Linked DNA regions of Arabidopsis thaliana. The protein of the gene in region 1 purifies or fractionates together with the protein of each later gene. This does not show direct contact. Each region holds a gene or a part of one and is shown in the gene's direction. Other genes may lie near its edges.

Evidence for each region.
Region 2: the proteins of AT1G57720 (region 1) and eEF-1Bb1 fractionate together in Arabidopsis thaliana (co-fractionation; one large-scale study listed by BioGRID). This does not show direct contact.

The regions. Positions count from the first base shown.
Region 1 is NC_003070.9:21,375,131-21,379,058, forward strand, and holds the start of AT1G57720 (Translation elongation factor EF1B, gamma chain), read left to right. Parts: upstream 1-2,189; 5' UTR 2,190-2,590; intron 2,591-2,604; exon of another isoform or gene 2,605-2,693; 5' UTR 2,694-2,742; coding exon 2,743-2,751; intron 2,752-3,026; coding exon 3,027-3,176; intron 3,177-3,254; coding exon 3,255-3,315; intron 3,316-3,408; coding exon 3,409-3,461; intron 3,462-3,572; coding exon 3,573-3,674; intron 3,675-3,812; coding exon 3,813-3,928. UniProt on the Arabidopsis thaliana protein: Probably plays a role in anchoring the complex to other cellular components.
Region 2 is NC_003070.9:10,637,060-10,640,987, forward strand, and holds eEF-1Bb1 (translation elongation factor EF1B/ribosomal protein S6 family protein), read left to right. Parts: upstream 1-1,854; 5' UTR 1,855-1,913; intron 1,914-2,200; 5' UTR 2,201-2,226; coding exon 2,227-2,309; intron 2,310-2,452; coding exon 2,453-2,569; intron 2,570-2,683; coding exon 2,684-2,777; intron 2,778-2,865; coding exon 2,866-2,989; intron 2,990-3,079; coding exon 3,080-3,359; intron 3,360-3,454; coding exon of another isoform or gene 3,455-3,456; exon of another isoform or gene 3,457-3,457; coding exon 3,458-3,542; 3' UTR 3,543-3,723; downstream 3,724-3,928. UniProt on the Arabidopsis thaliana protein: EF-1-beta and EF-1-delta stimulate the exchange of GDP bound to EF-1-alpha to GTP.

The DNA.
Region 1 (3,928 bases):
AAATTTTTTTAGATAAATCATGAATTAACCATATTCTTTTCGAAACAAAATATCTTTGAGTAAAGCAACAAATCTTTAGATAAATCATGAATTTACAGTATTAGGATTCTTTTTGTAACATATGAATATATTTTGTATATATATATACATCAATGTAAAGAATTACATGCATAAGTTTTTTTTTTTTTTTTTTTTTTAGCAACATGCTTAAGATTTACTATTACATATTTGAAGCTAAATCTAAAATTGTAAATAGTACGTTTTTAGGTTTTACAAAAGCCTTCAAATTATGTGGAATATAAACCCTAAATATTGAAGAAAAGTTATTCAAATTCTGCTTGCAAGCTCAAGAAAAATAACATTCATCATATTTTCTGCAATATTCAGATTATTCGTTGATCACCTAATATCAAAGTATTTCTTGGTTTTTTTTTTTTTTTTTTATAAGCTGCATGAATCTTTCCACTGTTTTAATTAAACTATGTCAATCGAATATGCGGAGCTGAATCGAATTTTATCCTTCTGACTTAATATTTCTCACACTCACTCACTCTCTCAATCTCTCAAGAACCACCAAAGAAAGAAAAACAGAACAAGAACAGAGGATCCAAGAAATAGGAAGAAGAAAAGACGTGAGGCTTTTACGATTTCGGGACTTGATTGAGATCCCTACGTTACGTAATACTTGCAATTCACTATCTTCTCAGTAACTGAATTTCTCACACGAAATTACATATGTTAAAATGTATATATATATCATACACAAGATGGATCCTTGCTCTACCTTTTTATAGCATGCTTTGTTACAACAACTTTTTTTTTAATTTGGTTGTTGTAAAACTTTGTTTCAACAATTATAACAGCCTTTTAACATAACATGGACATTAAACCAAACCTAAAGCGAGTCTACAGCAGCTCAATTATCGGTTCTAATCCGATATGCACATAGCCAACCCACGGTTAAAAGTTGATTTCATTTGATTTCCATCACCAAGGTCAACACTATCAACGTTTTTTGTTTTTTTTGGTCTAACTATCAAAGTTTAATTTCCCATAATATGAAGCTAACCATGCAATGTTGTAAACCCGAATTACATTTTGGTTTCTTAGACTTGATGATGAGTTGATGACTAATTGAAAACAAATTTAAGAGCTTACTAGTGTTCTCTCCAATGCTTCTTTTTTTTTAAATTGGAATTGATCACACACATATATATATTTACGCATATATGTATATATGGATGTGAACAATTAGTATTATTTTACAATAATAGTAAAAAAAAAAATGAACTTACAAATTACAAACCAAACTTGACGATATATGCATGCTCTTTGAGATCATCACACGAGTTGGTCGGAGCCACCTTTCGCAGTCTTGTCTGCTTCGGCTGGTCCATGTTTTTTCTCGGCTTTACTATCTGCGATTCTCTCTCGAGGGCTACACAAGATTCTTCCCAGAAAATGGGAAGCAATTGCCAAGAATATGATCACTATGACGATCAAACACCATTGCCAGATTGGAACCTCCATATCTTTAGTTTGGATTTTTGGTCACACAAAGTAAACGCAGTGCAGAAGAAGAAGAGGCGGAAGATGCTTGAAATTAAAGTTGTTGGTACTGTTGACCAAAAGGAGTAAGTTGTGAAGAAATGATACGCAAAGACTTGTGGAAGGTAACCAATTTTGTAAACTTCGTAGAAGAAATCGAACTCAATAAAAAAACATCTATATATGTATGACATACGAACAATAACATAGTTTAGTGGACCTACCAATAATGCCCTCTAATAGTTTTGGAAGCTACTTAATTAAAAGATTTTATTTCATTTTCACAAAGTGAAAGAAGGGTTACAAAATTCATCAATTTTGTATTTATTCAAACCCATACTTGGAGTTGGTGTATCAAAAACCTAATTATATTAATTGGCATTGTACGTGGTAACGTTTTAGTTTACATCTATGGATCAATCTTGCATAATAAGTTAATAACCCTTTTGAATTTAAAAAGCACAACACAACTTATTTTTAAAAAGGATATATCATTTTCGGATTTAAAGTTTAGTTTGTATGGTCTAAAACTTTGTTTTTGGTTGTCGTTTAGGATATCTTGGAGAGGAAGAAACCACATAGAGACATGAATCAGAGAAGTAACTTTGTGAGGTTGCTTCTACGAATTTCGATGAACTAGTGTTTCTTTTTCTTCTTTTTCAACAACATGCGAGTTTGGCACACCAAGGATATGGATACAACCAACTAAACTACATATCAAAATGGCCATGGGGAAATGTCAGCAAAATCTGTCAAAAAATGCAAAAACAAAACTCCAACTTTACTTTGGGTAAAACAATACGCTAATTTTTATTATGTTATACATAAATGCAAAAGTTATAATCGTTTAAACCTTAAAAATAAGCAAACCAAATTTGACAAAACCAAAAGCTAAACCGAATCAAACGAAAAAGGAATATTCTCCAAAACCGACTTCACACAGCCCTAATTTCCACACTCTAATACTATTTCTCGCCGCCGCTTTTGTATCTTCTTCTCTCTCGCTTTGCTCTCTCGGAATTGTTTTTGCAGAAAGTCTCTCGTAAGAATCAATCTATCAACTTCTTCTTCATATACGCTTCTCTCGTTTCAAAATTTCATCGACGATTAACTGATTTTTACTTGGTGTTTTCTTTGGTAACTAGATCTGAACTCAGAAAATCTCCGAGTTCGTATATCTTCTCCGTTTGAGCAATGGCGTTGGTAAGTACTCACTTCTGAGATCATTACACGTTTCATCAGATCCGTCACGATTGGTTTTACTGATCTGTTGATGATAGTTTATGAATTTTGATTCATGTATCTTAAATCTGGGAATATAGTTTGATTTTAGAATGATTTAGGTATCTTGGACGATTGTTTATTAATCTGAGAACTGGATTTTGTGTTGCATTGAAAAACTACTTTGGATGAATATAACTATGCAATTTCTGTTGAGTTTCATTGATGAAGTTTGTGTAAATCATACTATTTATCAGGTCATGCACACATACAAGGGAAACAAAGGTGCCAATAAGGCACTTATTGCTGCAGAGTATGCGGGTGTGAAGATCGAGGAGTCCGCAGACTTTCAGATGGGCGTCACTAACAAGTCACCTGAGTTCCTTAAGATGAACCCTATTGGAAAGGTATGGAATCTCTTTCGAGAAGTTTTGATTGATGTTTGCTGTAAATTCCTAGCTAATAAAAGATTATGATCCCACTAGGTTCCTGTGCTTGAGACTCCTGAAGGTCCCATATTTGAGAGCAATGCCATTGCCCGATATGGTATAACTTCATTTCCTTCTGTTTCTCTTTGATGCACCTATCTATAACTTGGTATTAATTGGATATGATGATTGTTTTGTTATCCCCCTTCAGTGAGCCGTAAGAATGGTGACAACTCTTTGAATGGATCCTCCCTTATTGAATACGTAAGCTCCTGTTTATCCAATGGCCTTTCCTTTTAAAATTATCGTACCTTTGTGTTTATCTCTTGTTTACTATCATTGATTCATGTCTATGTGCATGTGTTTACTTTTCAGGCTCACATTGAGCAATGGATCGATTTCTCCTCATTGGAGATTGATGCTAACATGTTGAAGTGGTTTGCTCCAAGAATGGGCTATGCTCCCTTCTCTGCCCCAGTAAGCTTTCCCTCATTTTTTGTGCCTTGTCTCATGCACTCTCTGTACTAACAAATCATGCTACTCCTTACTCGCTAAGATTAGTATTTGACTAGTCTAAGCTTGACTAATCTTTTTAATGGTTTTATCTGAATGAAGGCTGAGGAAGCGGCAATTTCTGCATTGAAGAGAGGACTTGAGGCTCTGAACACACATCTCGCCTCCAACACTTTCCTTGTTGGACACTCTGTCACCCTTGCTGATATTGTCACAAT
Region 2 (3,928 bases), about 11 Mb from region 1:
AAGTAATATGTTTTGGAACTCAAAGTTGATGTTACTGGCGAGCATACTTAGCGAACATGACACTTTTACAACTTTTAATATATTAGAATACGTGATACTTGTTAATGTCCCAATTGGATCATATGTGGACCGTCGTGGAGGATTTCTACACATGTACAAGATAGATATTTAGTGATCTTGGCATGGCGCACACAACGATTGTATGAGGTGAGACTAAGAGATTACAGTAGAATACTAGAGTTCGATTCGATCAATCTAATAATGTCGATTATATTTACCTTAAGAAAAATAAAAATCAGTCAGGATATTTGGAATGATCAGCCGATGAAGTTGATCACTCATCAAATTTTTAAAAAGGGCCAAAAGAATTCTCTATGTCTTTTGTGCTTCGATAAAATAACATGGATATAATTGTTTTAGGAAAGTTTACATTAAAAGTGTTATATAGACAGAAGTTTGAGGATATAATATAGTTCTGAAATTGAATTAAACCTGTATGTTCCGGAAAAAAAAAGTCTTCCTTTAAAATGATTATGAAAAGAAGCATTTGAACCAGAATGTTGGAACTCAATTGGAATCTGAAATCCTTTTTCTCAACAAGGAGGAATTTTAAAAGAAACCAAAGTACATCTTTGGCCAAACTATATCTTGTTACTTTTTTCCCCACAAAATTTATAGCTTTTTGTTTTTACAAAAAGAAGTGATAAGAATATAGAAAAGTTGAACAAATCTTTTTTACAACGACTAAAACATACATGCAACTTCTTAGACGTATCAGAATAGGTGTTAAGAAACTATATAAAAACATATGTATATCATAAGTGTATAGATTTTGTAAAGTGTTTTTTTTTCTTGGGTAAAGGTTTTGTAAATTTTAGTTTTTTTGTACGTGAATGTTATATTTATTTTATGTGATAAATAACTAATAATACTTTGAAAAAGATAACTAGTAAAATATATATTAAAGTGGTGTCTGTTTGTAAACATGAAAACTTGGTATGTATACTAGATTTTCTTGGCGTTATGCATGTGAGATCCAACAAATGGTCTCAACTCCATCTTTAGAAAATAGTAAGAACTTGATATTGCGATTTTTTTTTTTTTTTTGAATAAAATTTAAAATTTATTCGAGAAAACATGTTTACATCGGATGCATCGTTTGTGCCTATAAACTTTTAGATACAAGAATCAATAGAATATGTAGAGAACTTTATTATCTTGAACCGAACCAACAAGACATGCAGCCATTGTAGCGATATTGCGATTTTGCTTGGGTAGCTTGCCATTTTTGGTGATAATATAACTAATATCCACATATTAGATAGTTTCTTATACATTAAACAAATTGGGTGACCTATCATTTTCAAAATGAATTCAATTTATTATTTTGTTAGTAAATGACAATTTAAAAGAGAAAAACTGAAAAAAGTGACAACTAATCAGAGAGGAAAATTGATGAATTTTGTAAGATACATACACATCTAATCTTTCCATAAATCATTCTAAACTACCTTATTAATAATTCTATAGATTTTTTCTTGTTACCACTTTTTTTAACAGTTTTGATTTCTGAGTACAATGCTAATTTATTCCTAACTGACACTCTGGAAATTTGGGTCCATATACACTTCTCATGGTTCACTTAAACATGACTATCTTTCATTCATAGACAGAAGAATTATGAATTGTTTTCTTGATGCTCTATCGTGTAGATCTTAACCGGTTTATTGATTTTTTTTTGTAAAGCCCACCAAGATAAAAGAGAAGGCCTAACTGAGGAGATAATTGGGCCACATATAGGCCCACTAAAGAAAAACCTAGAAGCTTAAATAAGTACCTATGAGAACTCTGCGCCATCCTCTTCTGCCTCCTCCTTCACTCTTCATCTTCAAAGACTGCGCCTTTTAGCTCAGGTTTGTTCTTCGATTTCTCCCGTAAGATCTTTTGTTCTTACGCCTCCTATTAGGTTTGTTTCGATCTCAAAGTAGCCATGGTCATAATAGTATTTGATTGGAAATTCGAAGTTTGAGTATTTTGATCCCCATGATTAGGAACTCTTAAGTGATGTCTTAGTGAATCAATTTTCGATGTTGTTCTTTGCTTCTAATTGTGATCTGTCTTTTAGCAAAATAAAGTTTCGTTTTTGCTGAATCGTTGGGGTTTTAGTAGTTGATCTGATCTTGTCTGCTTTTTATATCAGTGAAAAAGGTTCGAGCTTCGGAAACTATGGCAGCATTCCCTAACCTTAACTCTGATGCTGGATTGAAGAAGCTCGACGAGCATCTTCTCACTCGCAGTTACATTACTGGGTAAGTTTCAATTTCTTAAATTTGTCTTTTTTTTCAAGTGTTGTCTCAATTAAGTTGTTAACATCTCTAATAGATTAGATCCTTAATCTCTACCTTTTTGAACAAAAAGAGTAATAATTAGTTTCCTTTGTGTATGCTTATAGATACCAGGCTTCAAAGGATGATATCACCGTCTTTGCAGCTCTTGCAAAGCCCCCAACTTCACAGTATGTGAACGCTTCTCGTTGGTACAATCACATTGATGCCCTCTTGAGGATCTCGTAAGCTTGATTACCTTCTATTGTTTTCCATTTACTAATGGATTAAAGTTTTTAGCTGTCTGGAATCTGGATTAATCTAATATTGTTTCGTTATAATCATGTTTCTATATACAGTGGTGTCTCTGCTGAAGGAAGCGGTGTCATTGTTGAGGGATCAGCTCCTATCACTGAGGAGGCTGTTGCTACTCCCCCTGCAGCTGATTCTAAGGTATGCTTGATCGTCTCTATGTTTTCTCATAATGTTTTTGTAAAGTTGTGCATTGGGGAGATTTCATATGAATGTGTGTGTTTTGTAGGATGCTGCGGCTGATGAAGAAGATGATGATGATGTTGACCTTTTCGGAGAGGAGACCGAAGAGGAAAAGAAAGCTGCTGAAGAGAGAGCAGCTTCTGTCAAGGCATCTACAAAGAAGAAGGAATGTAAGTTTGGGTTTTGTTCTACCCTTGTAATTTATATGAATGATATGAAGATGTCTTGGATTTCTCATTGTTTTTATTATTCTTCATTAGCTGGAAAGTCCTCAGTTTTGATTGATATCAAACCGTGGGATGATGAGACTGACATGAAGAAGCTTGAGGAAGCTGTGAAGTCCATTCAGATGGAAGGTTTGTTTTGGGGAGCATCAAAGCTTGTCCCAGTTGGTTATGGTATCAAGAAGTTGCAGATTTTGTGCACCATTGTTGACGACCTTGTCTCTATTGACACCATGATCGAAGAGCAACTCACTGTTGAACCGATCAATGAATATGTCCAGAGCTGTGACATTGTTGCCTTCAACAAGATATGTAAGTTTCATGAACCTATTCGTAATTCTTTTTAAGCTGTGATCTTTTGTTAGATAATGTGGTGTGTAACTGTCTATGTTGGATTGAATCATAATGCAGGAGGATGGAGAAAGCTTCAAGGAATGTCTGTGTTCATGTGGTCTGGTTCTTCTTCTTCTTCTATATTCAGTTTCCCAAGTTTTTGTAGACTGTTGTTTTGACTCTGTTATGGCCTGCCATCTCTGATCCATTTTGATATTTAATGAAAAGTGACAATTCAGTATTACGTTTTCTTTGTGTATGACCCATTCTCTGCTTCTTCCTTCCCCTCTGTTCATCGCTTGTATCTCTAGATATGTGTTTCTTAGTGAATCCTTAGCAATTTTCCCTTGTAGCTCTGCCGAATAAAGTTCAGGTTTTGAGCTAAAACTAGTAAACTAGCAAGTGAGGACTGATAAGGGTTTGTGATTTAGAGCAACTCAAGCTGATAAAATTTATACTTATGTATCCATTTTTAGCGTTATATATTTGTTAAACTTGTTTCTCAATCGAGTTAAGCACAAAGGTAAAGTAAGGAGTTGGTTAATCTCTTAG